Linked DNA regions of Oryzias latipes. The protein of the gene in region 1 binds, or shares a complex with, the protein of each later gene. Links are inferred from orthologs where the notes say so. Each region holds a gene or a part of one and is shown in the gene's direction. Other genes may lie near its edges.

Region 1 (11,235 bases):
TTATTTTTCTTCAACCAGAAAGCCACAATGGAGAGGTAAAAGAGCCACATGTGGCTCCAGGGCCTCAGGTTGCAGAGCCCTGATCTAAACAGTCCTTTCTGGCATTTCCCGATGAAAAAAAACAACACTGTGGGGCCGGATCTCTTTTTGTTGCTGAGCAAGTAATGATTGATTCAATGATTTCTTAAAAAGTGCAATTTACAATCAAAAGTCTGAACAGGTTGCCTTATCTTGAGAAGCACACGGTCAGTGCTAGCTGATGAGGCTTCTGTCCAAAATAGACCAGCCGCTTATTTATAGTGTGCAGTACCAGACCACTTATGGAACGTAACACAGCATGTCTGGTGAGAGCATAACACGACTGACTTCAGCAGCCACAATCAACTTTAGAGCCCACATCAGAGCCGCTACAGGTGACTGTGGCTCGAAACACGGAGGAAGCAACACAACAATGGATGTTGTGTCAAAAGACTGAAAAGCAAAGTTAAACGAGTTTACCCCTCCACAGCAGGTGAGCGCTCTGGTCTGCTGCTGCCTCTGAACCGGTATCTCCTCTGGCTGTGAAGGCGAGGTGGGCGGCCTGGTCCGAAGTGTTCATTGGATCCTAACAGACCACCCATCTGCCCCCCGAGACCAGCTGGAACCGATCCCCCGATCGGTCCAGCCCCCAGTCCTCCGAAATCACTAAAACTCCCCAAACGACTGCTGGAGAGCCTTGGCTCGGAGTCAGGAGTGTCACTGTCTGTTGTAAACGGCCTCTCCAATAACAGGAGGTGCCACAGCTGTAGAGACGTTAGGATTAACAAACAGTTATGGAAAGGGACATGAAAAAAAAAAAAAAGACAGGGAGACAGAGAGATCAAAAAATGGGGGGAAAACTCAAAAATTAATCATAATTTAATATGATCAGAGTCAAACGTACCTCTGCAAACTGTGTGGCTGTGTCATCTATCCCATTTGCACCGCCGTCTAGAAGACTAATGAAAGCAACACAAACAGGGGAGGTACAACAATCTCAATAAACGCGTACTAAACTGATCAACTAAAAGGTCACGCTGGAAGAAGATTCAATAAACAGATAACTGACAGAGCAACAAACATGTATTCACTTTTAAGGTTCTGTTCCAGAAACAGAGGTCTCTTACCTGGAATCCTCTGTTACTTCCTCTATGAAACCTGAATCACATCTTGGACAGATGTATTCCTGCAAGAAAAAGAACAAGGACAGAGTCACGCTTATTTATAAAGGCTGAGGAAAAAAAGAGACAACTAAACATCGAACTATGGCCACATTTTTCATTTCAATTGGGTTTCAGCACATCAGAAAGAAAAAAAAGTAACATTTAGATGTAAAAACTTGGTTTTACATTTAGTATACATCCTATTGAAGATGCCAAACACAATACAAGTAAAAAAGATTCAAATGACAGTAGATATTTCAACACACCAATGTGTACGATGTTAACATCCTGGTTTAAGGGCTGTTGAAAGTACATTAGAAATACTATAAGCAAACATGTCCATCATTAAGACTTTCCAGTTAAATGTACTTTTAATTGTTTACATCTTAATATGTTGAAAAACAGACATTTTAAAAGCCTGTGCAACTGTTTTCATGAGCCAAACCATTTTTGGGCTTGTGTTTTATTAATGTAAAATACAACACATATCGTGATACTTCAAAGGATAATTGTTAAGAAAAATGTATGATGTTTTTTTTTTTTTGATTGGCTGATTAAAAGCATAAATAATGACTTTCATTTAGTGTTTCAACATATGAATGCAACCAAAGAGGTACGGCTGGTCTGCCAACCACACCTTAGGGGGAGGGCGTTCAAAACCAGCATGACAGCTTGGAGCAAACACAACCAGCAAGCAGCCTTTGCAGCAGGATGGATCATATGTTGTCCTCTCATTTAAAGATAGAGCTTTTCACTCAGGGGAACAGGATTGAGGTCACTTAGCATAAAAACAAAGTTGTAAGCCATTACGGCAACACCTGAAGTACAATACTTGTAGCATTAAAAAGTGGGTCACAACAATAATGTCTTTTTAGATTGTAGTTCACTCGATTTGGAGTGCTAAATATACAAATGAAATTCACAAATGTTCTTAAGGTTGAATTGAAAAAAAAAGTGACTATGAATTACAGAAATTATTTTGGTCAAAGCCTTTGAATTCAGATTTACTCACAAAACTCACACAATTACTTGTAATAAATAAATGTTATGTATTGTTTTGTTGATTTTTATAATTTACTTTATATTTCAGGTTTAAAAAATGTTTGATATTATCTTTGCAGTTGCTTGATCCAACACAGAAAAAGAAAATCACAAAGAGACAAGTGAGTAAATCCAGAATTAGTGACCAATTATCTGAAATTTAAAAATAATGGGGAGGCAATAGTCACAGCTCTGTTTCCAGTTTACTGGTCGATTAAACAAATAGACGTTTGGATGTTTATTTTTACTTTATGGCACAGTAAATCACAGAACCCTCCATCTCTGTATCAGTCTAACAGATTGCTTCTAAGAAGCTAACAGGTTGCACTTTTTAATTTAAACTTTCAGTCAAAATCTAGACACAACATAAAGCAGTGTTTCCTAAAATTCGGGTTATATAACAAAATTCATTTACTCAATACATCAGCCAGTTATAAGCTAAATTTATAAAACATGTAAGAGAACACATTCATGTTAGAAATTCAGATATTTCTGGTATTTATTTTAACCTGTCCAAATTTTTTCTTGTCCAAAATGAAATACTATAATCATTATCATCAACAAAATAACTTATATTTCAATGATTGAAAAATGTGTGTCAATTTTTATTTATTTACCAAGGAACATTTGTTTCAAAAACACAAAACGGAGTCAACAAGAGAAAAAAAACTACAAATAAAAAAACAAACACTTACAGTTAGTTAAATGTTTTTGTAAAAACGTAGGAATGTCCTTTTAAATAAATGGCCTTTTAAAGAATATTTGTAAAATAGTAATAGTAGGCCATTTAAACGCCTCTTCTGCCGACATTGTTACGTTTGACTTTAACACTAAAACTGAAAGTAAACCACAACGTATGACATCTACAGAAAACTTCCCCTGCTTATACTGCCACTGCTGTTAACAGAAACAAAAACTAAATGTGTATATATACTGAAAAGGAAAATCTGAGTGACAGTTTATGAATAAATAAACTCTCAGATTAATTCGGGCTGTTTTGTTCAAAAACATGCATCTATCATTTACCACCAAGCACACAACTTCTACCTTGAAGCACAGAGATTAGCGTAAGTATTTTAAAACAGGCACGAATAACAAGACCTACTATCGTTAGTTTTAAGAGTAGCTTAGTTTCCCCTAAAACGACTAACCGGAGTTTCTTTACTGACTTAACAACAACAAACACTGCTATATGCTAATAGCCTATGGGCTTAGCTGTAGCAAGAAGTAGCCGAAACAAACAGCTACCTGCCGGAAGGCAGACTTGTCAGCCGCGCATAACACTCAACATAAAATGAGCGAATAACCAAAAATAACGCGACTTACCGGGAGTTTGGGATTTACTTCTCCCTTACAACAGTGACAGAAAAACCGATGCGAGGGAACAGCCGCAGCCTCCGCCATCTTCCCGGAGCAGCACAAACACTGACGTCGGTCCTCCACTAGCTGAAGGGAGCTGTCCGCCCCCAGCCCGGCATGCACTGCGGCACTGTTGTCGAATCACAGCAAGCAAAAAACCGGGAGCGGAAGTGTCTGTTTGTTGTCATCGACTAGCCTCATGCGCTAAACTATCTGCACGGAGTCTGCTTTCATTGCGAGATCTGAAATCGAAAAAGGTTTGTGAAAAAAAAAAAATGCCAGGCTTATACCATCAAATATTCAGAGATAATTTAGTAAATTCCCAGCATGCAATTGTAATTTTACTATCCAAAAGCCCAAGGGGGAAAGAACTTGAACAACTGTTGACTTTTCAAATTAGAAGAGATAGTTTACATGCACTGTATGCTATAAGGGAAACTACTTAATGACCGATCTAACTTTTTATTTTTAGATTTTACCTGTTGGAATAAGTGGTGCCTGTTTTAACAAAGTAAAATACTATTATTGTTGTTTGTAGTTCGTAAACTAGATGTATAGAGATAACATAACTAAAAAAAGTGCTGTTTATTGAAAAACTAAACTGAACTAAAATAAAATTGATTTATTGTTTATATTGGTTCATGTTGAACGATCAAATCCGATCCGATTCACTGATCTAAAATCGATCCAGAACATCTTTAGCCAAGAATTCAACCAGTGGGACTCAGAAAATAAATACCTGGATTCTGAACAGTGCAGGGGAAGTTTTCCACATTCCCTGTATTTTTTTGCAACATAATTAAGTGTAAATTAAACATGTTTACAAACAAACAAGTAAAAAAGAATGAATGGACAGTTTTACCTACATTTTGCTGCCATTCGATGTGTTGTCTGTTTTAACGTTATAGTTAGAAAAAAAGCCTACTGTGCCTTAATCCAAATGGTATTTTCCAATATTGATAATAATTGATTTATTTCCTTTTAAAATTAATTCATATTGGTATAGTTTGATTCGATTAACATCTTGCCTCAGATGGATGAATCGATTCATCTTTACAGCCTACTAAAAGCACATGCATTAGTTCTTATTATTAACTTAGTGGTTTTCATTGAACTGTTGGTGTGTTTGTGCAGATGACAGCCCAGGAGGTCCGTCTGTGTGGTCTTCTGCTGCAGGAGCACTTTGGAGAAGTGGTGGAGAAAGTGGGAAGAAATCTGCTCAAAAGTGGAACGCAAAATTTAAGAGCCATTGTTCATGAAACTGGCTTGTCAGTGGATCTGGTAGGTCAACGCAAGACTGAGATTGCATTCGCTGTAGTCAGATGTTCTTTGAAAAATAATCAAAATTATTCATTATTTGAATTATTATTCAAAGCAAACGGTCACATATATTACTATGTCCCTTGCAATATGGCAAAAGTTAGTTCTTTAAAGATATTTGAACAATAAGAGAAACAAAATTATAATGTAATTATTCAGGTAATATATATTCATATTTGAAAACAGTTTTACCTGAAACTGATTGCTTATCAGTTTTTTGTCAATACAATACAGTGATGTCTGGTAATGTTCATGTACTTTAACAGGACTTCTTCTTCTTTCATCAAGGTAAAGAAGTCTCTGTGCGTTCTTGTGCAACATGGAGCCTGTTCGTTTATTCAAGGTCGAAAAGGACCGGGGAGCCCGACGGAATACAAAGCCCACTGCGATCGGGTACTGAGAATTCTGCGCTACCCACGTTACATATACACAGCCAAAACGCTGTACGGCGACACCGGTGAGCTTATCATAGAGGAGCTGCTGCAGAGGGGCCACATGACGATGAGCAACACAGTTAAGACAGTCGCAGACCGTCTAACTCAGAGTATGGACGGTGAGCATCAGAATCAAACAAAAGACTGTCCATAAAAGAGATGATCTGTTTTCTGAAGGTTTTTTTTTCAGTTAAGCTTTGGATTGAGGCCTAAAATATCGCGATCAGTAGATTCATTTTCTAATGAATACTTCCTTTGATGTTTTGTTGATACAGAGGGGTCGAGCATGGATTATGGTGAAGTGTCCGCCACCTTTTCCAAACTGGTAGAGACTCATTTTCTCCAGCGCTGTCCCCCAGCAGCAGGAGCAGGAACGACAGGGAGCAGTCAGACTGCCAATTCGACTTCTGCAGCTCCTGCCAGCAGCACTGCACCCACACCGGAAAGCTTCCCCGACTGCTACAGGGTTCCTCAAGTGACACTCATAGGCCGGAGCAAACGCTCGCTCGCCAGCGAGGAAGGAGAGGACCAAAGAAATGCGAAAAAAGCGAAAATGGACCCAGAGGTCAGAGAGACGTTTGTTAAAGCAAGATGTTCACTGCATATGCTAAGACTTCTATGGTTGTGACTTCTGTTTGTCTTCTCATAACTTGGATCTTTGGTGCTCAGACTCATGGGGATGAGGGGATTTACTGGCAGGTGAACTTTGAACGGTTCCACCAGCATTTCCGGGATCAGACTATCATCAGTGCTGTCGCCAACAAACTAGATCAGGTGGGAATTCCACAAAACATTTCAAACTAACCATTTTTTTTATTCATTAAAAGAAAAACAGGTTTTGAAAAATAATTGCCTAGAAAAAAAAACCCAAATACATTTCCTCAGTGTATAATTATTTGATGGTTAAAAGTAAAAATGAATAGTATTTGAAAACCCTCTTTGTATGGCTGAAGGAATTTAGCATAAGCATTTGGTTGTTTGATAAGACTATCTGACTTTGAAGTATTGACCTTAAAATCAAAGAAAATTCAAATTTTAAATGAAATAAAGTGATAGTTTTTGGAAGTACTCCTAATAATTCCTCTTTTTTCTTGGATTGTTCTCTGTGCTTTAAATACTACAGCTTTTTACATTTATTTCATTATTAATTATTTATTATTATTATTTATTATTAACTAGCTGTCTTCTCACATCTTTCCTACCCAGACCAGCAGTGAAATAGTGAGAACCATGCTGAGGATGAGTGAGGTGACAACCTCTTCCACTGCCCCGTGCACAAAACCCCTTTCAGCCAATGAGATCTTCAGGTCCCTCCCAGCTACTTACAACATCCCCCGCCATATATTGGACCAGTACCTCACTCTGCTGGTGGATGACCCTGTAGGTCCTCCTCATCTCAAATATCTCTCTGATTTTTGCTTGGCTCCCCACAAAATGCTCAAAAAGTTTCCCACTTTTCCTTCCTAAGATGGAGTTTGTGGGGAAGGCTGGGGAAAGTGGAGGAGGAATGTATATTGTCAGTATCCTTTCTGCTCACTTGAAGGTTCAAACCATCCCACAGGTGTGCGTGTCATTCGCTACTAAACCCAAAACAAAAGCTTTCCCTAACTTTTCTGTCAGATCTGAACCAAGCATTGGCTAACCTGGCACGGGCCACCCTGGAGTCCATCGTACAAGAGAGGTACACCAGTGTGTGTGTTTGCTCTCCACACATACGGTTGCTATTGGGCTCCCATTGTTAATAAGATACCTTTTATTCATCCTCAGATTTGGCTCCAGATCAGCGCGCATCTTCCGCCTGTTGCTACGGAAACGTCATCTGGAGCAGAAGCAAGTGGAGGATTTCGCCATGATTCCAGCAAAAGAGGCTAAAGACATGTTGTACACTCTGCTCTCACAGAACCTGGTCCAGCTTCAGGTACGTGGATGTAAAATGGGTTTAAAGAAGGAACTGGATGAAAAGTTTACGATTTGTTTTAATCATACACCTGGATCTATCCTAAGACTAATTTTTTAACCTGGTGGTGAATTTTAAACATCTGAGCTGAAGTTATTTAATCCAAAACAGCATTGTTCTGTTTACCAATGTATATAGATTTATTTAAAAATACATGTGTTGAGTTCTCAAAGTTTGAACCAAGCAGCCATAGTTCTAGTTTTTTCTTTTTTTAGTACAATTTTTATTATCTGTAATTATCTCTTTTTTAAATGTATCCTCCAGGAAATCCCCAAAACACCAGACTTTGCTCCCTCTCGGACCTTCTATCTTTATACCGTCAACCAGCTGCCTACTGCGAGATTGCTGCTACAGAACTGTTACAAGGTGAGTCTGAAAACAAACTGGGAGCTTTAGAAAGCTGGATGGAGAGCCACAGGTGTATTATTTCATGCCTGCTTTCCTCTCCAGACAGTGGCCAACCTTATGGAGCGGCGGCTGTTTGAGGCCAAAGAAAGCAAGTGGGTCTTTGAATCATATTTTTCCTTGAAGTTTTACAAGAATGCAGGTACTGCTATGCGCCAAATGTGAATTATGTTTGTTTTTTAGGCGCCTTCTGGAGAAATCGCAACGAATCGAAGCTATTTTGGCGTCTCTGCAGGCCAGCGGGGCCGAACCCGAACAGCTCACTGAAGTGGAAGAAATGATCACCGCTCCTGAAAAGCAACAACTGGATAGCTTAAGGCTTCATGTTAACAAGTAAGAGAAGACGACAGAAACAAAAAATGTATATTTGGCAAAGTTTTTTAAACAGGTTTTAAATTTTCCTTTTTTTTCTTTCCAGATTAGATTCAGCAGAGAATCAAGTGGATGAAACAATCTTTCTTCTGGAGTCCTACATAAGTTCCTCTACAAAACCTACAAGTTAAGTCAGATTTGGAAGAATGACTGACACCCCACATTTTACTTAAAAATTATTTGATTTTGTTTTTTTGTCACAACAGTTTTAGAGTTTACAGCAAATATGTTTCGGTTAGAAGTGGATTTAAATCTGATTGTTTTTATTCCTTGCAAATAATAAACACAACAGGAGGAACCCTTTCCAAATGTTTTTTATTTCCCATCATGAAACAAAAAGCTGTAGAACCGAGTGAACATTTGAAATATAAAACCATGAACAAGTCTGCAAGTTAAATAAAAGAACTGTGGCTTAATACATTTTCAAATTCCTTAAAATTAAACTAAGGTTATTTACAAACATTGGGGTAAAAAGTATTTATTAGTCACTGATTCTGCAAGTTAATGAGAAGCCTGTAATGTTTATCATAGATATGCTTCAACTGTGGGAGACGGAAAGTAAAAAAGAATCCAGAATTGTTTTTTTTTTTATAGAATGTACTTGAATAATGGTGCGTTTAATGTCAAATCCTACAGTGTGGTTTCCTGGATTCTTGTTCTGTTTCTTAAAGTTGAAATGAACTTACGATGAACATTACTGATCTCTCTCATCATTTTAAGTGGGACAACTTGCAGAATATTCAAATACTTTTTTTGCCCGGCTGTAAGTGCCTCCATACTCTGGAAATAGTGGGAAGTGCATTTCTGTTAGACCCTTGCGATGCTCTTTTTTAGTCTTTGGAAACTCTGTTGCATCCATTTCCTGAATGTCTGTGCCTGGTGGGAGGCTCAAAGAAAAATCTACTTCCCTTGTAGTCCACAAGGCAAATCGCTGTTCATACAGATTCAGTCTTCAGGATTTTCCTCCTCTCCTCTGTGTTTGCGTGTAAAGAATCCGAGCTGACAATAAGGAAAAGAGCGTGAATGAATACGCTATCCTTTATATATTACACATATGTCTTGAACATCAAAGAGAGTTTGATGTGATACCTTCCACAGTATGAAGATAATAAGAGCCAACAGCAGCAGACCGCCTATGATGCTGCCGATCAGAATCCAGAGCGAGATGGGAATAGCTCTTCCCTTCAGCACCTCCAGTACAGTCTAAAGAGAAGTGTGGGAGACGCATGGGTATGTTAGGTACACTCTAACGTAGGGCTGGTGGTCTCTGCCAAAATATTTTAACCCTTGCGACATCTTTGCATATCCACTAATTGTTGAAATGTAGGTGAATATTGATTACGTTTTCAAATTTCCATCCAAAATAACCGCACAAGCTAACTAACTAATAAACAAAAATTGAATTTTCATTCTTAAAATAAGTAATTCTTGAATAAAAACCAACTGAAAACAGTTTTTATGCCTGAAAAAATACTCAAAATGACTTAAAAAGAAATTTGATTCATACATTTGATTCATTTATGTTGCATATTCTGCATATTGTTAGTAAATATGGATTTGATTAACTAATATTTTTAAACTCAGCCCGTCTCTTACCTCCCCCCAGACTGTTCCTTTTCCCAGAGTGATGAGGTTAGTCTCCTGAGCTGTGAGGCCATAGGCGCCTATTATCCTCATTGACTTATATTTTGCCTGAATACATAAAGAAAAGGGTCATGGTCAAAGCTGGAGCGACTGGAGAATAACTGAGTCACCTTATTTGTCATGTTACTCACTTTCCTGAAAAAATCCTCATGAACTCTGCGGCTCACTCGAATGATGACGTCCTCCCTGAGCTGCCGCACCTCACACACAATCTCCGTGCACCATGACCTGCTGCAGTTCTATGTATGGAAAATGGAGATTTCCCATCAGCTGCTGTTCAAGGGATTGAGAAGCGCCTGTTTTCTGGGCCTCACCAGGATTTCATCCTGCATCATGTCTTCAGGATGAAGTGGCCGCACTTCTCTCTGCCTGCTCTTCAGCTGCGCCACATCACTCATGACAGTACAGTTCACCCCTGAGGCCTGGGTGGGGGGGAATGAGCAAATGTCATGTCTTATCTGAGAGAAGTGAAAATGCAAATGCATCCTAAAAAAGAGAATCTGCTCACGTTGTTTGAGGAGACATCGGTGACAGTCATGAAGGTGCTGTCTCCTGCAGCTGCAGTGGGCAGATACAGCCGCAGCTCCAGGTTACTCAGCAAGTAACAGCCAAAATTCTGCAACTAAAATATAAAAAAAAAAATTGGTGGATACTTATGTCAATATTTGACATTTTCAGACATTTTTTATTAGAATCAAGGATTTACCCTAAAGTAGGTGAAAAATTGTGGCCCAATTGCTTCCGATGCTGTTCGAGTGGGGTGGACTTCGTAGCGGTTCAGATTAGAGGTACTGCATAAAGAACAAGCCTGTAAGTACATCAATAGCAAGAAAAAATAACAAAAAAAGCTTATACTGTGCAGTCTCACCTACTAATATACAACTCTGGCTCATACTGAACAAAGGTTTGCAACTGAACACTGTTGTCCCCCAAAGTCTCCTGTCTTTCAACACTGTCACTGCAAGACCAGAGCGAGAGTTACAGCAAAAGTTTCCCTGCAGGTTGGTGAAAATGTGCATGACACAGCCATGACTCAACTACCTGGAAGCGTTGATCTTTATCTGGACACGACTGTGCAGAAAACTGCAGCTGAACTCAAACTCCAGCATAAAGTTAACCTAAAAAGAGCAGAAAATAGTCTTAAGTTTCACCCGAGGAAAGGAAAGTGTGAGACCAATGGAGTCAATCCTTCAGGTAAGCGCACCTTTGACCGAGAGCGAAACACTGGGTAGCTGACGTTACAAGAGTGAATGTTTGAGCCAATTGCTGTACACTCCATCTTAAAGTAGGCATCCTCCTATGTTAAAAAAACAAAAAGAAGAGGACATTGGATTAAAATACGGAGGATTTGTTGCATCCAGGGCAAGCGCAATGTGAGTTACCCGAATGCTTAGGCTGGAGAAGTGCAGGTTTCGTGAATAGTGCAGCTTCAGGCTGGTGTTGTAGGCGTTTTCCAGTCTGTTCTGAAGCTGCACTTCAACTGCCAGACGCCTACGCGTGCTGCGAATCACATAAGGCTTCT
Region 2 (10,005 bases), on another chromosome or scaffold:
AACATCATCATCATCCTTCTCTACCTCCTGTCTTGGTGGGGGAACAGCAGTCTCTGGAGAAAAAGGAAATGGAGTCTTTGCAAGACTTAAACATGAAGGATTAAAGCAAACATTTACCGCTTACCCTTCTGGTCAAATCTGACACATTTGACAGTTGAAGTGCTCTTAAATCGTTTTTGGAGTTCAGCCTGCCTCTCTCTGAGTTGTTTCAGTTCATTTTCAATAATGTTGATCTGCTGCAGTTTGGCGTATGCTTCCTCTGAGAGTACACAAAGCAGAGGAGGTCATACATTTGACAAAAACGTTTCATCACATCAAGAAATGCTATTTGTTTCTTTCAAGCCACCTGTTTGGCCAAGGTTTGTGCGATTCCTTATCTCCTGAAAAATGCACATAATGTTCCTCCTTTCCTGAAGTGTTTGAATCTTTAAAGAAATATCTTTCAACTCCATGGAAATTTTAGTGGCCTCGCTGTTGGTGGAATTCATGGTGACACCTATGTGGAAAAGATGGGCAGAGAAAAGCAGACGGACGTTAGTTTTCCTTCCATTTGTCCATCTTTTGAACCTGCTGAATCCGTTTTGTGGTCACAGGGTTGCTGAAGCCACAGTTGGGCCAAAGCGGGGTACACCCTGAACAGGTCGCCCGCCTGCTGCAAGGCCACACACACACTCACATTCACACCACACCTGCCTGATTTAGAGACATCACTGAACTTATGAAGCATGTTTTTAGACTGTGGGAAAAGATGGAGAGCACAGAACCAGGGCCTTTTCACACTGAGGCAAGAGCGCTGTGTTTGTTTTCCAATTTTTAAGACGTTATTATAGTTTTTAATGCTGTTTGACTCTCAAAATACTCCATTATACTATAACCATTTTATTACATGATTTATCAATATCCGGTTCCTAGTTTTTAATCAGACAGAATTAAAAATCATATGGTATCGATAAAGCACATGACAAAGATGAATTACTTAATTATTATGTAAAAATAACTATTTTAGAAATCAACATGGCAAATGCAGATCAGTCATCTAAAATATATGCAGATTATTTTACTTATAAAAGTCATTCATATAATTAAAACATAATACTATATCAGTAAAATAGACACAACACTGTTTCAGGAATTTTCATAGCAAAATTTCATCAAGTATCAAAAGTTAAAAACATGTGCAAAATTATGTTACATTAGGAAAGATTTTTGAATCAATTTATGAATTTTTGGAGCAAATGAAGTAATATCATTAAACATCGATCAATTTAACCATTTTCAATTAGTGATTAATCATTTGTTTTACTTTTTCATATATATTTTTTTTGTATTTTTATTTATTTTATAATAAAGTAATGCTGTAAGGGAAAATCTTAACACTTTAATAGCAAAGGATTTTTTTTACCCATTGTCAATGCATCTATTGATATTTACAGATTCTAAATTGTTGTTTGTGGAGCAATTTTGAATGTTCTTTGTATCAAAAAACCCAAATACAAAAGGTGGACATTTTTTAATGTCCGGTGAGGCAAAAGGTATTTGTCTGTCACAGATTCCACAAGTTCTTTCTTTCAAAAACATGAGTTTTTTCATGTTCACCACAGATACACTTCAACTCTGACAGAGTGTAAAAATAAAACCCAGGAATCACATTAAATGATTTTAAATAAAATATTTGGATAATAGTTCAAAAAGTGAGACTTTTGGTACAAACAAGCAAGAATTCTTTCCTTCAGACCTGTTAATTTTTCTTTGAGAAGCTTTTCTTTTCTCTACTTGTTACCTGTAATAATGTCACATATTTAACCCTTGTGCTATCTTAGATGACCCCACCCTTACATTGACGTGTTCTCCCTACCATGACAAAGGTGGATAAAGGTGGAAAGATTTCATGTAATCCATGGACACCAGAGAAGATCACAAATCTTGAAGAAAAAAGGTTCAGAGCACTGTCTAGTGGGTCTAGATGACCCAACTCCCAACGTTAAAGTGCCCAGGATCGCACAAGGGTTACGAAAAGGATGAATGGGGCCGTGTATGGTGAGATATTGGGAAAAATAACATGTTTCCTTATTGACATCATAGAGGGATTAAACGTGTCTGGATTTTCAACTCGACAATGATCCCAGACACATCACCTGGGCAACAAAGGAGTGGCTACGTAAAAAAAAGGAAACCTTTCAAGGTTCTGGAGTAACCTAGTCCATTTCCGGATCTCAATCTAATAGATAATCTGGAGAGGGAATTGAAAGTTTGTGTTTCCCAGTGACACCCTCAAAATATCACAGCTCTTAGAAGGTCTGTACAGAAGAATGGGCCAAAATAGCAGCTATGCTGTGTCTAAACCGGATAAAGGCCTACAGGAGACCTTTGACCTCTGTCTCTGAGATCAAGGTAACTTTTCTATTAAATTTTATTTATATAGCCCAGTATTACAACAATAGTTGTGCCAAAGAGCTTCATACAAGAACATAAAATCAGTCATAAAATGCTAAACTAAACTAAACAGTCTAATCTAAACTGGGCATTCCTGCCCTTAGACCCTTTTGTTTTGACCAAATACTCATATACAAACAAATGTTTAAAAAATGTTTAAAAATCATACAGTGTGATTTCCTGAAATCTTCACTCTTATATTCTAGTCTGTCTCTAACAGTTGAAGTGTATCTGTGATGAAATTATCTCGTCTTTAGGTGGAAAACTTGCAGAATCTGTGATCCAAAATTAAGAATAAAAATCAGAAGTAAAGTGATTGATAATTACTTAGAGGTCAAAACATACATATTTTGAAAGAAATTAATAAGTATGTGGGGCACAGAGAATATGGTTGGTAAAAAAAAAAAAAACTTCTTAGTTTCTATTATTTTGGTTGGGTAAAATTACATTTTTAAAATGTTTTGAAATAAATCCATGTTAGGATACATTTGGCACACTAATATGTTAACAAAGCTGTCTTATAATCGTGAATATAGTTTTGTTTTGCCTTACCTGTTCTGCTGCACCTGATTCATCGTCCTCATAGAGCATTAGATAGAAGCCGGACAACAGAACACTGTTCCTTTCCTCCAACTAATTATTCAAAATATTCAAATAGTTCAGCTACGTTTACAATTACCCACTGTGAACATTTACACTGAATCCTCGAGGGACAAAATGCAAACCCAGATAAATGATATGCTATTTATTGACATATTTCATATCTATCCATTTAAAACAAAACATTTAAAAAAAAAAAAGGTTTTACATTTGAGCCTTTTAAAAGAAGAAACAGTTCCAAACAAGTAATTACAAGTAGATTTTACTTTAAGAGATGTTCAAAACAAGTATTATATATCTTAAAGTTATGGTTTATTTTAAAAACAAGTTTAATTATGTTGGGAAAACTTCTTTCTTCTGAATTGGCAAATGGATGAGTCACTTCTTCCTGAGTTTCTTCATAAACATCACTTCATCTCTGTTTCTAATGCCGTAACTGAAAACAAATAAGCATTTGAATGCAGGAGTCAGAGGACATTTTAATATTATGTCAGTTGCACACAGTATAAACCAGACTTCATTGATACCCACTCTTTGAGCCTAATTGAGTCATCTTCAAGCTTTTCCCCCTGAAATACCAGATAATACGTCCTCCAAACATATCTCCTGGAGAAGAAAGGAGGAAAAACAAAGTGAAGATTTGGACACAACTGCTCTGTTATCGTGTTTACCAAAATTCTTACCAGCTGACATGTTTCACTCCACCTTCTCGTTGCTGTTTAAGCTCCATGAATCTGCGAATGGCCTTCTTAAGATCAAGAACTGTGGCGTTTTGCACCACCACTATAGCTAAATATGAAAAAAAAAAAATGTTACTACTGTGTATAGTAAAAAAAATGTGCAAAACATATTTAAAATCATTTGAAAGCTAAGAAAAATCCACATGCAAATATACATGGTCTGTCCAAAATTAAAAGTTGGATTTAAATATGCAAATTTGGACGCGCCTCCCATTGGATAAATATTGCATGGGCGACTGTCTGCTTGGGCGATGGGGTGATTGTCTGTCAACGGGTAACAGGTTTTATAATCCCAACTGATGCAATGAGTTGATTCCCTCTTTTTAAACCACCAAGTCAATAAACACATCCTGTGGGAGAGATGTTAGTTTGTTGGTGACGGGTCAAATCACTGGCGGTAAATTAAACATCAAAAGAAACTGCAGAGAGGGCGAACGGGTTAAGAACTGTCCAACACATTATGAAAAACTGGAGGGATAATGCGGGACACAAGAGCTGTGCACCCTTAAAAAAAAACCCACTGACCATTAAGGCCAACCAGAAAAAAAACGTTTGTCAGGGAACATTTAGATTGGACTCCAGAGCGATAGAAGAAGGTTATGAGGTCTGATGAGTCAGGCAGTGAACACAGACATAGTCATACAAACACAATATAGACACATACTAATTATACAAATCAGCTGGGAGACTTTGGAACTTACGCATGATTTCCCCATCTGCCTTAACAACCTTCACAGTCATTGCTTGCCCATACTCCAATGCAATCTGGGAGTTTACTTCTTCCAAAGTCACCTGAACACAAAAATATTGCAGATTGTGGATTCTCATCCTTCTAACACAGTAGAGGGTAAAAAAAAAAAAAATCAGTCAAATGGACTTGGTTAATCCTTTATAACTGCAGACATTTCATGTTTTCTCAAAGACAAATTTGCAAATACGAAAGATAAACCAGTTGTAAATAACAGATTTCTTTCTGGGCTTAATAATAAATGAGATTAAAAAAAAACAAATGTGATTATTGTATAATAGTCCAATGTTACAAGAGCAATACTGACAATACTAATGTTATGGATTATAACCTGTGTTTTTGTTATTTTTATTATGCATGTTTGGTACTTAATTCTAGATTAGAACATTTATTTCATTGCTATTCGTATATAATTCTTAAATCGTATAAACAGTTTCAAGAAGAAAAAGGAGAGAAAACATAAATTAGAGCTATAAGATTGTTTTGAAATTGGATTCGATTTGGCTTTTCAAGAATATATATGCAGCTATTTTCTGCTATGCAAATATGCCGTCAGACAAACCGGAAGAAGGACGCGTTTCAACTTTAGTGTTAAATTTACAATTTATGAAAATTTTCTTTAAACATCTGCCTGGTGTGCGGAGTGTGGTGTTTTTCTATGACCTGGATCGGCAGATCACACAGTAAAGGGTCCTGCACAAGTCGAGCAAGTCCCTCTTCGAAGATATCAAGGATCTCTGAATGTGGAAGAGACTCCTCATCTTCCTCCTCGGCATCTGGAGCTGTCTCATCAGCCAGCTTCTCCTCTTTCACCTCACTGTGACTGTGACTGTCCTGCAAACGATTCTCTCCTTCGTCGGTTTCCTGCTCCATCATCTATTATTGGTTAAAAATAAATACATTCAGTAAAAATGAAACCGCTTTCTCTTTTTTGACGCGTTCAATTAAGTACAAAAGATTCTTAAAATAATAATAATAGGATACTGTTTACAAAAATGTATCCCAAGACTGGTGTGAATTTTAATGCTGTGTGTCGCAGACCTTATACCGGTGGTATCATCAAAACATGATAAATAGTTCCGCTTATCAAAAGTAAGAACTTTTTTTCATGCGGCGGATGGTGGGGTTTTAAAATAATTATATTATTTATAATGTTATACATATATTTATACATTTATATACATTCTTTAACAATAACAATTTCATTTTTAACAAACGTTTTTTTTTTTTTTGTTTCCTACCGAGCTGTAAAACCGGAGCAACTGCTTCCGCTTTGCTTCTCCTTGCTAATGAATTTCGTAGTCGCTACTATCTTTCCCGAGATAGTTTTTCTTTAAATAATCTGGTAATATGCTTCTTTTTTGTCCTACTTGTGGAAACGTTTTAATCGTAGAAGAAGGACAGAAATGCTTGAGATTCGCTTGTAACACTTGTCCCTATGTGCACAACGTCACGAGAAAGGTACGCTCCTTTTATCACTGTCTGACTCTGACTCGAGAAACAAACACGACATTTCTTAGGGTGGTTTTTAATCTCAAACTTTTCAATATTTGTAGGTAAACTACCGAAAATATCCCAAGCTGAAAGAGGTGGATGATGTGCTGGGTGGAGCTGCAGCGTGGGAGAACGTGGATTCTACTGCAGGTAACAAACAAGTTTGTTACCAAGAATTAAAAAAAAACATGGATAGACTAGAGAATAATATAAAACAAAGGCCAAGAAAAACTAATTTGACTACTAAGACAAATATGTTCTCCATAGGAATAAATTAAAGTTTATTTGAAACAGTCCATTTGCGTGTTTAAAGGGTGTTAATAGTCACCCTTAGCTGCAAGTACACTTGAAGTTTATTTTATTAAGTGTACTTGGATGCAAGTATTGCACATATACTGCTGACCATGTAACGTGTAGGGAGTACATTAACTTAACACTTATTCTGACTAAATTGTGACATTTTATGTTTACTATATATAGACTGAACTTCAAGTACACTGCCTCACTCTAAGTATACTTGTAGTACACTTAAATGGACTACTTTTTGCTAGAGGCAGTGTTGCTGTGTGATGCTATGGCGAGTACCAACCTGAATGTGGGCCACAGAAAGAAGTTCAATCCGAGAACTAACTAAAATTCTGAACATGTGTGTACATATATGCATGTTTGCTTGTGTTTTTTCACAGAAACGTGTCCCAAATGCGAGCATCCTCGAGCCTACTTCATGCAGATCCAGACCAGATCAGCCGATGAACCAATGACGACTTTCTACAAATGCTGTAATGCTCAGTGTGGAAACAGATGGAGAGATTGAGCATTTTATTTCATTCACTCATTATTTCTAGTTTAAATGGCAATCAAAGCACATGTAAAGAATGTTTTGGACCCATTATTATTTATAAATAAAATTTGCTTTTCAGAATCAATCAACGGACAAATTCTTTATTTCAGAGCTTTTATTGATAAAATAATACCTGTGTACATCAGTCAATTCAATTGTCTTAGATGTTTGTATCTTGTTGCAGACATTGAGAGCAATGCATACCACTGGTTCCCACACGTTTATTTTCTATGCAATCCTTGAGCTCAAAATGCAATTTCTAGAGCAACTCAATCATCCTTAAGGTAAGGAAGAGAAAAAAAAATACAAATCTAGGAGCCAGCCAAAGAGAATCACTTATTTGGATGTGTAGCTCATGCAGACAAATTCTGCACCTCCAAAGCGTTGGTGAAAAATGAAATCGGACATGCTGTGACGGAACAGTGCTTTTACACTGTTAGTGGTTTATCCAATAAAAACTGTATTTTTGATATTTTTTTAGCTTAATCTGAAAAGACTGCTCAGTCAAGGCTATCGCTTCATCTAACATGCATTTATTTATGTCATAGATGACAAATGTCAAGATTAGGTGATCAATGCAATGATGGCTGCATCCCTTTCCAGCTTAAATACGGTTTACTACTTTCAAATCAGTGAGGAATCTCTACAATCTCAGTATCACAGAGATGGCATGTAGTGTTTCCACATAACCATGTCCTCGGCACACAAAGACTACTAAAATCTCTGATCAAATATGTTTTGATTAACTCCAGTTATATATTACCTCTATGCTTGAAATTATTCCACTTCTTTCAGGGAATTGATTAAAACAGGACAACCCTTTCTTCAGGAATAAAAAGGCTAAAAACATAACAAAGTGCAAATGTTGACATTACAATGAAAGCAGATCACAGACACGAGGAACTGGTGAGTAACAGTAAAACAATAAGTCAGCTCCTGATTGGAGCAAAGAAAAATCAAGTTTCTAGCAGATGTGTCAGTTTAAATTGACAGTTTTCCCACATTTGACAACTACAAATGTCAAAAACAAAATTACGCACAAATATTCATAATCCGGAAGAACACGTCTGAGCTTGAACGGATTAAACGAAAAATTAGACAACTTCACATATGAGGACAGCTTTCCTCTACACCAGGCTGCCAAGCTTTTAAAGTCCTACTATTCACATGCATCCTTAGCAGTAACAGGGATCTGTACAATTCAACTTCATGTTAATAATTTAAAATATGAAGAAATATATACAGCAAATTAGCTAATGAGAAAACTGATTACAATACAAGAGGGTTTCACAACACTATGCGAAAAAAAAAAAAAAAGTCGGCCTGTTAATATCAGCCAGGGGAGCTGCAAGTTTGTTTCTGTTTGCATGTACATGGCTCTGTGGCATCCAGCTGTTGGTGGTTAGCATATACGCTTGTATGTGTAGATGTAGCCCTTACAGTAAGGACAGGTGTGCGTCACGTCCTTCAGGTCATCAATCAGGCAGGGAATCAGGCAGCAGCCCAGGTCACACCTGCGAATGCGGAACGGGACGGTTATGCATATTTAGACTCAGACCTGTGGACGCCAGGGGCTGGCAGGAACAGAAAATGAACTCTGAGCACATTAAGCTTCCAAGTAAACAACAAAGTCCCTCAACAAGAATGTGAATTTAAACTAAAATAAGATGACATTTTCTATATTCAAAAATCTGTTCAAATGTCTAGGACAAAGAATTAATGCAAAATATACTTTTAAAAGGCTAAATGACACACTTTAGGTAGCTAAGAGCCATGAGACACATTCATTAAAACGTGGTTTAAAGAGACACCGACTTCCTGCTTTCAGATTTTGACTGCAACAATAAAAATGTAAGACAAAACATCTTTAAAAAAAATCTGATTTATTTTTATCCACTTCTTGAACTTTACTTCCCTGGCCTTATTGCAAGCCAAGGCTCCACAATTTACAAAAACCTTACATATGGACATTTCTAACTTGAAATGTATTTAAAAAACATTTTGATGTTAAATTTTACTTGTAATCATACAATGTATACAGAATTCTTTAAATTCTTTTTTTTTTACTAACATGGATTTTAATTGCAATCTATGTTCATTTCCTTTATATTGATGAACTGTCTGGTTCACATACTTTTTTTTTTTTTACTAATAATCAAGCTTAGAAGTTTCCTTTATCATTCAATAATCCTTTAATTTGATCCAAAAATTGTCTCATAAAATACTACATGTATTACATGGCACTACATGTGCTATATGTAAATAAAATCAAGAACAAAACCAGAATATTTACACTATAATTTGTATTTAACACTACTTTATCATTGTGAATAGGCCTTAAATGTGACGCTTTCAACTGAATAAAAATAATTAGCACTTGAATTAATGATAAAGCTGTTTAAACTTTGATGCTCCTTTGGTTTTCCTCATCAGAGGAAAAGTTCCGTTTCGTCACCTTTTTGACCAATTTGTATCTGCCGTTTACAACGATTACTCGTTCCAAACAAGTGCAGTTTACAAGCTCCACAGTACACTCACCCTACAAAGAAGCAGAATAGGCAGAAGAGTGTGTTCATGAGGCCAACGTCGTGGGAAATGCGGGTGACGATTGCTTGTTGGCAGTGTGGACACACAGTCTGCACCGGCGAGGTCTGGAACATTTCCCCCTGCAGTACCGTCACGGTGGTGGCTGCACCTGGTGGACCCAGGACTGTTGTTGTTTGTCCTCCCATGTGCACAAAGTGGCCGGGGCCTGGACCCATCTGACCTGGTATTGGGCTAGCGAAGTGCCCGGGAGGCAGTGGGTAGGGGCCACCTGTAAAGAATGAATCCAGAGGTGTAATAAAAACTGAAACTGTGTCAACGGAACAACTTTATAGAGACCACACAAAAACACAACTTTGATTTAAGTCCTGCAATAAACTTGACTACAAGGATGGAGCACAATGAACAGATATAAAATCAGTAAAAGTGAATAAAAAAGATTGAATCAAATGAGTAAAAACAGACGATAAGAATATCAAATAACATCAATTAAGAATTTTTCTAAATTTTAACTCAAAGCCAGAATCAAAAGGTAGTTCTTGAGCCTTCCTTTAAAAACATAAACAGTCTCTGTGGATCTCTGGGTGGCTTTTCTACAGTTCCAT
Region 3 (11,161 bases), on another chromosome or scaffold:
GTCTTTCATCCAGCATGTTGGACGTCTTTTATCCAGCAGGTTGGACGTCTTTCATCCAGCAGGTTGGACGTCTCTCATCCAGCAGGTTGGACGTCTCTCATCCAGCAGGTTGGACGTCTCTCATCCAGCAGGTTGGACGTCTCTCATCCAGCAGGTTGGACGTCTCTCATCCAGCAGGTTGGACGTCTTTTATCCAGCAAGTTGGACGTCTTTCATCCAGCAGGTTGGACGTCTCTCATCCAGCAGGTTGGACGTCTCTCATCTAGCAGGTTGGACGTCTTTCATCCAGCATGTTGGACGTCTTTCATCCAGCATGTTGGATGTCTTTCATCCAGCAGGTTGGACGTCTTTCATCCAGCATGTTGGATGTCTTTCATCCAGCATGTTGGACGTCTTTTATCCAGCAGGTTGGACGTCTTTCATCCAGCATGTTGGACGTCTTTCATGCAGCATGTTGGATGTCTTTCATCCAGCAGGTTGGACGTCTTTTATCCAGCAGGTTGGACGTCTTTCATCCAGCAGGTTGGACGTCTCTCATCCAGCAGGTTGGACGTCTCTCATCTAGCAGGTTGGACGTCTTTCATCCAGCATGTTGGACGTCTTTCATCCAGCATGTTGGATGTCTTTCATCCAGCATGTTGGACGTCTTTTATCCAGCAGGTTGGACGTCTTTCATCCAGCAGGTTGGACGTCTCTCATCCAGCAGGTTGGACGTCTCTCATCCAGCAGGTTGGACGTCTCTCATCCAGCAGGTTGGACGTCTCTCATCCAGCAGGTTGGACGTCTCTCATCCAGCAGGTTGGACGTCTTTTATCCAGCAGGTTGGACGTCTTTCATCCAGCAGGTTGGATGTCTTTCATCCAGCAGGTTGGATGTCTTTCATCCAGCATGTTGGATGTCTTTCATCCAGCATGTTGGACGTCTTTTATCCAGCAGGTTGGACGTCTTTCATCCAGCAGGTTGGACGTCTCTCATCCAGCAGGTTGGACGTCTCTCATCCAGCAGGTTGGACGTCTTTTATCCAGCAGGTTGGATGTCTTTCATCCAGCATGTTGGACGTCTCTCATCCAGCAGGTTGGACGTCTTTCATCCAGCATGTTGGACGTCTTTCATCCAGCAGGTTGGATGTCTTTCATCCAGAGGAAATCACAGCTTTTATTTTGATAGTCCACTTCATATTATAGGCAAGTTCATTTGCTAAATGTTTAATTTGGATTTAAATGTGTTTTAGAAAATATAAATATTTAGTGATAAACCTTAAATGTTTAGTTCAGATGTTCATTTGTAAAGTAAACGTTTTGTCTGTAAATTAAATATATATAATTGTAAAAACAATATTTAACTTTAAACCATGCATTTACTTCACTAAATATTTAGTTTGTACATTTAACTATACTAAATGCATGAATTAAAATGTGAAAATATGGATTAAAAGGTTAAACTTGTTTTTTCTCCTCAAACCAGAATAATAATCCAGAATATTGTTGTAAATATTTGCTCCCCTTAGAAACGGTTTATTGAATTCTCATCAAAATTCAGAATGAAAATACCTTCAAAGGTTCCCTTTATTACTTCCCTCAAAACGTCTTTTTGATGTTTTTCTTTTTACTAAACCTTTTTTTAAATGAGAGTTTATTCCTTCGTTCTGTTGTCGTCTTTCGCTTTGGTTGTTTCTTCATCTCTGGCAACGTGAACGGACATCTGGAAAAAAGGCGACAAGAGAAAAATGCTGTTAACAAATTAGTAATTAATGGCAGGAAAAGTACAAATATGGAGGAAATGAAGAGAGAAATGTTCCAGTTTTACAGTAGGCTGTTCTCTTCCTCTTATTCATGTCAGGATGCTGATCGCTTCTTTAATCACATCAAGGATTTGGCTCCTAAAGTGGATGAAAACTTTGAAGCAGAAATCACTATGGAAGAAGCAGAAAAAGCCATGAGAGGTTTAGCTGTAGTTAAATCTCCAGGATCTGATGGGCTGACTGTGAACTTTGACAGACATTTCTGGAAACACTTGAAAGAGCAGTTTCTGTTGGTCATAAAGGAAATGATCCTTCCAACCGCCATGAAGCCGGGCGCCGTCACCCGATTCCTAAAGCTGGAAAAGACGCCAGACTGATGGATCATTTCAGACCAACATCCCTCCTCTACAGTGATTAGAAAATCATAACCAACATTTCTGCATCTGGATTAAAAACAGGACTGAATCAGATCATCTCAGACACACAATCAGGGTTTTTAAAGACGATCAATTCACAATAATATCCGGTTAGTTCTGGATCTGATTGACTATAATCAGTTCATTGAAGATGATGGCTTCATTTTATTTTTAGACGTCTTGAACACAAATTTATGTTTCAGACTTTAGAATTATTTGGATTTGGACCTAATTTTATAAGTTTTGTTCAAACAATCTATAATGATACAAACAGTGTCGTTATTTTACCAAACGGCATTTTTCCCAGGTTTTTAATTAACAAAGGAATTTGTTAGAATAGATAGAATCTCACCATTACTTTTTATAACAGCAACAGAAATGTTATCAATACTTCTAAATAACTCTGGTTTCTGTAAACTCAATGTTCTGGGAGAACAGCTAGCCATCACTCAGCTGGCAGACGACACGCCCACATTCATGAAGGACAGTCATCAAACACCTGACATCATTCAGAACCTGGATTTCTTCTCTAAAGAATCTGGTTTCAAACTGAATCTCAGCAAATGTGAATTGTTGCCAGTTCTCCATTCTGATCAGTCAGTCCTTCATAACATTCCTGTTAGGACTGCTGTGAAATATATTTAGTTCAGATCACCAAAGACAGTAAAACTATGGAGGAAATGAACTTATGGAAAACTTTAGAAAAATGTAAGTTAATGTAAACATCTGGTCACAGCGAGACATTTCTATTCAGAGTGTTTCTCACTAAATTAGAATGTTGATCCAGATTCATTTATCCAGCATAGGAAAGCAATAAACCCGAACAATTTCAACTTCATCTGGAAAAACAAAATTAATTCCATAAAAAAAGAACAATAATTCAGGATTACAGTGAAGGTGGACTTAAAGCCTCAGACTTTGAAAGTTTGGATGGTATGATTCAAATAAATTGGCTTAAGTCTTTTCTGCAAAATGGGAGAAATATTTGGTTTCATATTCCCTCAAACATCTTTTCTCATCTAGGGGGTATTGAGTTGCTTCTAAAATGTGATTTTGATTACAGAAAACTTCCTATTAAACTTTCTACTCATCATCAGCAGCTGTTACTGTATGGAAACTCCTCTACAAACATAACTGTAGTTCACACAATACTCCATATGGAACTGTTGGGATATTTTATGTAGGAACAAATCAATATTTTACAAACATTGGATTGATGACAGTATTTGGTCATTAATACATATTATGAATGACAATGGAAACATTATCTCATTTGAAACTTTTTCCAGTAAATTTAAATTAAATGATAGAAAATAATATAATAATGTGATCAAAGCCTCAGACTTTGGTCCAAATGTCCTCCAGTCTGGTTCATGATGATCAAGTTCAGCTTCCCTCTCTGTTGTTTGATGGTCGACCGGTTAATTCAAAACTTCCAAACTCATTTATACGATCTTTATTTGTTAGAGCCGTCCTGTTTCCAACATTAGACATAAATCATTCTATGTCACAGCTTTACACAAGAGAGGAAATAAGCAAGTTGAGGTCTCAGTTCATTAAATATCCAATTTTCCCAAAATACAAAGAAATCCATTTTAAAATAATGAATGCAGTCTATCCATGCAAAGAACTGTTACACATACGTTTAGGTTTTCCAGAGAATAACTGTTCTTTTTGTGATATAAATATTGAAACACTTGATCATTTGTTTTTTGAATGTATGTATGTTTACAGTTTTTGGGAGGATTTCTTTTTTTGGTGCTCTTCAAAGTTTCCCTTTCCTATTTCTATTCACTTACAAAAGCACATTATATTATTTGGAGTAGTTTCTGGTGATAATCTATTTGATTTGACATTCAATACCTTATTAATATCTGGGAAATTTTTCATTCACAAGTGCAGATTTGTAAAAACGAAACCATTATTTAATACATTTCTTAAAGAAATCAGTTTATATTTTAAATCTCTGACATTGATGAAAAACAAAAATGCAATAAAACTGTGTGTTTTCATTGAAGATCACATGCTGTATGACAATCCCTAGTGTTGTAAACTATAATTCTATATATTTTGTTTTATTTATTTACTTATTTTCTTTTTCTCTCTTTTTTGTATGTTGTTATTATGTGTATGTTTAAAGTTCAAATAAACAAAATTAAAAAAAAACAAAAAAAAACGTGAACGGACATCACGTGCTCTGATGACGTCACACAGGACCGAGCCTCTCCCGCCGCTGGGGGGCGGTAACGCTCCGGTCTCCGTGGTTCCCCCAGAAGAAGAAGCGGCGTCACCGGCAGCAGCGGACCGGGGAGATGGCGGAGGTTCGGGTAAAGAAAGAGACGAACCTGGCGGAACCTGCAGAGGTGGAGACCAGGTTCGGACCTCACGATTCTGCCGCGTGCCGGTCCATGACCGAAGCGCGTGCATTTCATCTACGAGCAGCTCCTTGGCTTGTTTCATGCGCGCGTGTCTTAAGTTCAGAAACGGTTCTGGTTCCGGAGGCTACTCTAAACCGAACCTCAGCAGGCTTCTAAGACCGAAACCACTTTGTCTGGTTCCAGAGGTTCGAATCGGGAGACCGACTCAGCTCACGCTCAGGTGGTTTTAGAACCGAGTCCAGTTCTGAAGGTTTTAGATCTGAGTAAACCTCCGAAGACTTCAGAACCGAGTGCAGGTCTGAAGACATTAGACTCGAGTCACTCGGGTCTAATGTCTTCATAACTGGACTCGGACTCGAGTCCCGTGAGTTCAGGTCTAAAGACTAAAGGAACCGAGTCCATCCAGGTCTGAAGACTTCAGAACTGAGTCCCGGTATGAAGGTTTTAGATCCGAGTCCAGGTCTGAAGACTTTAGAACCGAGTTCAGTTCTGCAGACTTTAGAACCGAGTCCCGGTATGAAGGTTTTAGATCCGAGTCCTGGTTTGAAGGTCCAGGTCCGAGGACTATCGCTGCAGCTGTTGGATGTTCTGGATGTTGTTCAGAGAACACGCGGATGGGTCAGACGGATTCTAGAGTTCAGGCGGTCTTTGGACCATTTCTGAAGATCCAACGTGACGTTCTGAACGGACCAGAAACACTAGAACCTCCGTCTTGGAGAGGTCCATCTGAAGATGTTCCTTTTTGTTCCAACTGGAGATGAGACCCAAGCTGACACAGGGTTTATTATGGGATGTCTGATCTTTGGAGCGACTGGACCTTGTGGTTCTGATCCAGGAACTTCAGCTCTGAACGCCTGTGTGTCTCCAGGATCAGAGAGCTGTGTCAGCAGTTCCCTCAGGGAATCACAGACCAGGTGATCCAGAACGACATGCCTCACCTGGAGCCGCAGCAGAGGGCCCTGGCCATCAACAAGCTGCTGTCCCTGGTTAGTCCGGTTCTGAACAACCCAATCCATTCTTCAGCGCAGAGGGGTTCTAACGTAACCTGGTGTTTGTTCCAGGGCCAGCTGGACTTGCTCAGGAACAGTTCTGGTCTTCTGTACAGATTAAAAGATTCTCAGACAGCCAGGTGAGCAGCGTTCCATCTGCAGGTTCTGGTTCTGTCCACCGTGAACCCCAATCCTCTGTTTCAGTAAGATGAAGGGCTCGGACAACCAGGAGAAGCTGGTTTACCAGATCATCGAGGATGCCGGAAACAAAGGTGAGCTCTGTCTGCCTCCTTCCAGAAGGTACCGCGGGTCAGAACCTCCCAGATGTTCTGTTCGCAGGAATCTGGAGCAGAGACATCCGCTTCAAGAGCAACCTCCCTCTGACCGAGATCAACAAGATCCTGAAGAACCTGGAGAGCAAGAAGCTCATCAAAGCCGTCAAATCTGTGGCCGTGAGTTCAGAACCGAGCCGGTCCAGACGTGCTTGTGGCCGCCGGCAGTCCTGAACTCTGCTCGTCTGCCACGCAGGCGTCCAAGAAGAAGGTCTACATGCTGTACAACGTGCAGCCGGACCGCTCCGTCACCGGAGGGGCCTGGTACAGCGACCAGGACTTTGAGTCCGAGTTCGTGGAGGTTCTGAACCAGCAGTGCTTCAAGTTCCTGCAGAGCAAGGTATGGAGAACCCAAATGTACGGAACACCAAACCAATGGGTCACAAAGGTCAGAGGTCAGCTGTAGAGCTACGTTTACACCGGGAAACGCGTTCAAGGGACCGCTTTGAGTCCAAAGTCTACGGGAACGCGTCTACGCTTCCGCCTCCAAACTCTACAAAAAGCGCCGCCATTGAACGTGAAACCAGTTGAACTTTGACCAATCAGGGACTCTGAGTTGGTTGCGACGTATGATGGCGTCAAAGCAGAAGTACCAACGACTGAAACTTGATCAGAAAGGACAAAGTAATAACTGCGGTTTGTGTCGACGCCAAGTCTATGATGGATCAGAATCGAGCTGTGAACAAAAGACTCACCAGATTTGGACGTTTCCCACCGAGTCGTCCAACCGCAGGAGACGGCGCCGGGTAGCCACAGTCCAGAATGAACGCCGTAGGCGAGCAAAGGTTCTGTGGTCTTCAACGCGCATCACGTGTGTGAACGTAGCACCAGGCTGAGGGGCCCACCCCTCACCCCCACTCACCCCTGTGTGCAGGCGGAGGCGGCGCGGGGCGGCCAGCAGAGCCCCATGGTTCAGAGGAACAGCTCCTTCGCCACGTCTCACGAAGTCTGGAAGTACATCAGCGAGTTGGGCATCAGCAAGGTGGCCCCGCCGTGACCTCACAGCCCCTCCCAACAGCTGCAGCTGTTCTCACAGGTGTCCCGTGTGCAGGTGGACCTGTCCATGGACGACATCGAGACCATCCTGAACACGCTGATCTACGACGGGAAGGTGGAGATGACCGTGATCGCCGCCAAGGAGGGGACGGTGGGCAGCGTGGACGGACAGATGAAGCTGTACCGCGGCGTGAACGCCGTGCTGCCGCCGGCGGGCCTGGTGAAGACGCCCTGCGGCCTGTGCCCGGTAAGCCGCGCTCCGACGCCCCCTGCTGCCGCTCCGGCTGCGGCACTCACCCCCCCCCCCCCCCCAATCTCTCTGCAGGTGTTTGACGACTGTCACGAAGGGGGGGAGATCTCGCCATCCACCTGCATCTACATGACAGAGTGGCTGGAGTTCTGACTCCGCCCATGGAACCCCGCCCCTTTCCTCCATGGAGCCACGCCCCTTTCCTCCATGGAACCCCGCCCCTTTCCTTTGGTTACGTCTGATTTAAGTTAATAAAGTTTTACTGTTGTGTGAAAAGCGACTCATGAATTCTGACTGAAGTGATTTTGAAGAAAGATCTTTTTTCAGATTTCCCATCAAGAGCGGCCAAAGGCCCCGCCCACAAGCTGTGTAACGTCATCCATGCTCGTTATAAACAGGAAATGGAAAAGATCCTTAAAACCAAGGGTCCCCAAACGATGGCCCGCCCCCCCATTAGACCCGGCCCCCTGAACGATACCAGAGAGAACCAGTTTATTATTATTGAAGCGTAGAAAACAGAATCAATAAAACTTGGAACAGAAAATGACAATAAGGGAAAGAATGCAGGATTTGAACCAGAGCGCTGACCACTGCTCCACCATGCCGCCTCCCAGGAGGAATTTAGCATTTGGATTCTGCGTATAGGGACTGCGGTTCTGAGATGGATCCGGTTTCCTGGAGCGGCCCGACCCGCCTCACAGATCGATGAGGAACATCGCTGACCATCAGGTTAGTCTGCCCCCCCCCCCCTAATGGACTCTCTGCTGACCGTCAGCAGGTCATGTGACCCATTAATGACCCCCCCCCCCCCCCATCAGAACCTTTAGACTAAAAACAGAAAACGGATCAAAACCGGAAATATAGAAAAGGTTCGAATCAACCAGAACTTGACATGAAGTCGCTGAACAGAACCACAAGAACTGGACCCAACTGAACTCAGAACTTCTCAGGGTCCAGTGGGACGGGTACCACCATCAGTGACGTCAGTGTTCGCTTCCTCCAGATCTGGACCGGAGTCCAGGTGAGCTTACACCTGCCAACCGAACTGAACCCTTATGGGAATCAAACCTGTGATCAGAACATGAGGACGGTCCCGACTCAGAACCGATTCTTTCCAAAGTTCTGATGGGCGCTGAGAACGGACCTAAAGTCCCCCTTCAATCCAGAACCGTCCGGAATAACACAGTAACGGTTACCGCGCATGAAGATCGGAGGGTTCGGTCTGAGCCCTTCACCCGAACCGGTTCGGTCAGACTGCTGTGACTCTGGGGGTCCGGCAGGACCGCGCACTGACAGGGGCGGGGGGAGGGGGCGGGGCAGTGCAGATCCTTCCCATCATCCCCTGCAGCAGCCGTCGCAGCAGCTGCAGCCCCCACTCCCCCGCCACTCCTGGATCCTGCAGACCCGCTGGAGTTCGGTGTCCGGTTCGGACCTTATCCTGGTAAGCAGCCGCAGGATCCTCGCGGTTGATGAGTGGGCTCCAAGGTGGGGTGGGGAGATGGGGAGGCGGGCGGTGCCGGACCCCCCCATCCCCAGCAACTTCGATCTGTGGACTCGGTCGGTGCGCCGGGATTCGGTTCGGCCTCCGCGGAGACGCGCGCGCCGCGGCAGCAGTCGTTTGTCCGGTAGGATGGAGGACAAAAGCGCGCGGGACAGGCGTGGCCGCGGGCAGGACGGCCGCCGGTTCCGGTCAGACACGCTCGCGTTTGTTGTTCAGGCAGCTGCAGTCCTGGTTCCGAGTTCGTCCGCGCGCACATAGGCACTGGTTTGACCCAAACCAGGTCCCGAAGGCGTTTTGTTTACTACTGCCCCCCCCCCCCCCAACTTCCTGTTATCTGACGTCATCTGGTCATTGGGCTAACTTCAGGACCGCTGAGCCTCCTGCAGAACTGAACTGGGCCAGCAGATTTGTGGTTCTGGAGAACCTGGTCAGGAATATAAACGGGTCAGCTGTTTCCGGTCCGTTTACATCCAGCTGATCCAGAGGAGAATATCATTACTACGAGTTTAGTTTGGGTCGGAACCAGAGCAGAACCTCTTAGGGCCTCAGTTTAGATCTTAGATTCGGTTCTGACAGGTGTAACCTGGGTTCTGGTTCTGGTTTTGGTGCAGATGTCAACCTTTAATGTTCTGTTGAAGTCGCTTAAAGATGAAAAGATCAGATAGTTTCAGAATTCTGGATCAGAACATGAATACTGTTCTAGTAGGAGGAAGAAGAACTGATGAAGAACGGAGGAAGAGGAGGTGATGAAGAACGGAGGAAGAAGAGGTGATGAAGAACGGAGGAAGAACTGAGGAAGAGGAAGTGATGAAGAACGGAGGAAGAGGAGGTGAGGAAGAACGGAGGAAGAGGAGGTGATGAAGAACGGAGGAAGAGGAGGTGATGAAGAACGGAGGAAGAAGAGGTGATGAAGAACGGAGGAAGAACTGAGGAAGAGGAAGTGATGAAGAACGGAGGAAGAGGAGGTGAGGAAGAACGGAGGAAGAGGAGGTGATGAAGAACGGAGGAAGAGGAGGTGATGAAGAACGGAGGAAGAGGAGGTGATGAAGTACGGAGGAAGAGGAGGTGAGGAAGAACGGAGGAAGAGGAGGTGATGAAGAACGGAGGAAGAGGAGGTGATGAAGAACGGAGGAAGAGGAGGTGATGAAGAACGGAGGAAGAACTGAGGAAGAGGAAGTGATGAAGAACGGAGGAAGAGGAGGTGAGGAAGAACGGAGGAAGAGGAGGTGATGAAGAACGGAGGAAGAGGAGGTGATGAAGAACGGAGGAAGAAGAGGTGATGAAGAACGGAGGAAGAACTGAGGAAGAGGAAGTGATGAAGAATGGAGGAAGAGGAGGTGAGGAAGAACGGAGGAAGAGGAGGTGATGAAGAACGGAGGAAGAGGAGGTGATGAAGAACGGAGGAAGAGGAGGTGATGAAGAACGGAGGAAGAGGAGGTGAGGAAGAACGGAGGAAGAGGAGGTGATGAAGAACGGAGGAAGAGGAGGTGATGAAGAACGGAGGAAGAGGAGGTGATGAAGTACGGAGGAAGAGGAGGTGATGAAGAACGGAGGAAGAGGAGGTGATGAAGAACGGAGGAAGAGGAGGTGAGGAAGAACTGAGGAAGAGGAAGTGATGAAGAACGGAGGAAGAGGAGGTGAGGAAGAACGGAGGAAGAGGAGGTGAGGAAGAACGGAGGAAGAAGAGGTGATGAAGAACGGAGGAAGAGGAGGTGATGAAGAACGGAGGAAGAGGAGGTGAGGAAGAACGGAGGATGAGGAGGTGATGAAGAACGGAGGAAGAGGAGGTGATGAAGAACGGAGGAAGAGGAGGTGATGAAGAACGGAGGAAGAGGAGGTGATGAAGAACGGAGGAAGAGGAGGTGAGGAAGAACGGAGGAAGAACTGAGGAAGAGGAAGTGATGAAGAACGGAGGAAGAGGAGGTGATGAAGAACGGAGGAAGAACTGATTGAATTGGACCCCGGTTCCGTCTGACCCCCCCATTATGGCCCAAACTAATCCATCCTCCTCTTCCTCATCCTGGAGCTGGAAGCTGCAGGGAAATGGTTCCATTACGTCTCCCTCAGGACCTCCTGGTTCTGGTCTGAGTGCCGTAATGGATCCATTAGAGTTTGTCAGCTGAGCCAGGAGGCCGTCACAACACATTACCCATAAGGCCTTGCTGCAGCACAAACAGCAGAGCTTTCTGGAAGCTCACCTTCAGATGAAGTGATCGATGAACGAGGAAGAGGAGGAGGAGAAATTGGTCTGATGGACCAGTTTTATTGTCATGGTTCTGACCGGTTCTGACCCGTTTCTCTGTTTTTTCATTTGCTGTCTTGTTTTATTTTTCAGTTTGTTCATTTGTAAAAGGACAATGATTGGTTCTGGATCAGTTCGGTTCCTCTCTGGGTGGTCTTTTGGTTGGCTGCAGCTGAAGGCCCGCCCCCTTTTAGAAGACCCGCCCCCTGGCTGTTTGTGTGTGCAGTTCTTCAGGAGAACCAGCCTCAGAACCGAAACTCTTTGAAAATTCAGGTTTCTCTGTGTGTCAGGATGACCGGTTCTGTTTGGTTCTGTC

The links.
Region 2: polr3c (region 1) and polr3k share a complex: the UniProt entries of both Homo sapiens proteins name them as parts of the RNA polymerase III complex. The link is inferred for Oryzias latipes from reciprocal best matches to the Homo sapiens genes POLR3C and POLR3K.
Region 3: polr3c (region 1) and polr3f share a complex: the UniProt entries of both Homo sapiens proteins name them as parts of the RNA polymerase III complex. The link is inferred for Oryzias latipes from reciprocal best matches to the Homo sapiens genes POLR3C and POLR3F.

What each region holds. Positions count from the first base shown.
Region 1 is NC_019874.2:18,837,841-18,849,075, forward strand, and holds polr3c (DNA-directed RNA polymerase III subunit RPC3), read left to right. Parts: upstream 1-3,719; 5' UTR 3,720-3,838; intron 3,839-4,715; coding exon 4,716-4,862; intron 4,863-5,189; coding exon 5,190-5,454; intron 5,455-5,610; coding exon 5,611-5,900; intron 5,901-6,004; coding exon 6,005-6,109; intron 6,110-6,541; coding exon 6,542-6,715; intron 6,716-6,803; coding exon 6,804-6,855; intron 6,856-6,955; coding exon 6,956-7,016; intron 7,017-7,102; coding exon 7,103-7,253; intron 7,254-7,556; coding exon 7,557-7,658; intron 7,659-7,742; coding exon 7,743-7,792; intron 7,793-7,880; coding exon 7,881-8,030; intron 8,031-8,115; coding exon 8,116-8,200; 3' UTR 8,201-8,372; downstream 8,373-11,235. Other genes in the region: E3 ubiquitin-protein ligase RNF115, read right to left, coding at 499-782, 923-977, 1,146-1,204, 3,549-3,626; itga10 (integrin alpha-10), read right to left, coding at 9,015-9,068, 9,159-9,272, 9,666-9,761, 9,845-9,952, 10,028-10,135, 10,222-10,335, 10,420-10,504, 10,582-10,671 and 3 more. UniProt on the Homo sapiens protein: DNA-dependent RNA polymerase catalyzes the transcription of DNA into RNA using the four ribonucleoside triphosphates as substrates.
Region 2 is NC_019866.2:8,134,269-8,144,273, forward strand, and holds polr3k (DNA-directed RNA polymerase III subunit RPC10), read left to right. Parts: upstream 1-5,765; 5' UTR 5,766-5,871; coding exon 5,872-5,982; intron 5,983-6,077; coding exon 6,078-6,165; intron 6,166-6,701; coding exon 6,702-6,829; 3' UTR 6,830-6,941; downstream 6,942-10,005. Other genes in the region: lipopolysaccharide-induced tumor necrosis factor-alpha factor homolog, read right to left, coding at 1-53, 125-259, 347-488; snrnp25 (U11/U12 small nuclear ribonucleoprotein 25 kDa protein), read right to left, coding at 3,412-3,469, 3,565-3,639, 3,717-3,822, 4,475-4,565, 5,185-5,397; cdip1 (cell death-inducing p53-target protein 1), read right to left, coding at 8,259-8,370, 9,395-9,671. UniProt on the Homo sapiens protein: Core component of RNA polymerase III (Pol III) which synthesizes small non-coding RNAs using the four ribonucleoside triphosphates as substrates. Can mediate Pol I proofreading of the nascent RNA transcript.
Region 3 is NC_019859.2:410,649-421,809, reverse strand, and holds polr3f (DNA-directed RNA polymerase III subunit RPC6), read left to right. Parts: upstream 1-4,372; 5' UTR 4,373-4,469; coding exon 4,470-4,531; intron 4,532-5,403; coding exon 5,404-5,521; intron 5,522-5,596; coding exon 5,597-5,664; intron 5,665-5,728; coding exon 5,729-5,796; intron 5,797-5,863; coding exon 5,864-5,976; intron 5,977-6,052; coding exon 6,053-6,196; intron 6,197-6,730; coding exon 6,731-6,838; intron 6,839-6,907; coding exon 6,908-7,099; intron 7,100-7,177; coding exon 7,178-7,255; 3' UTR 7,256-7,382; downstream 7,383-11,161. UniProt on the Homo sapiens protein: DNA-dependent RNA polymerase catalyzes the transcription of DNA into RNA using the four ribonucleoside triphosphates as substrates.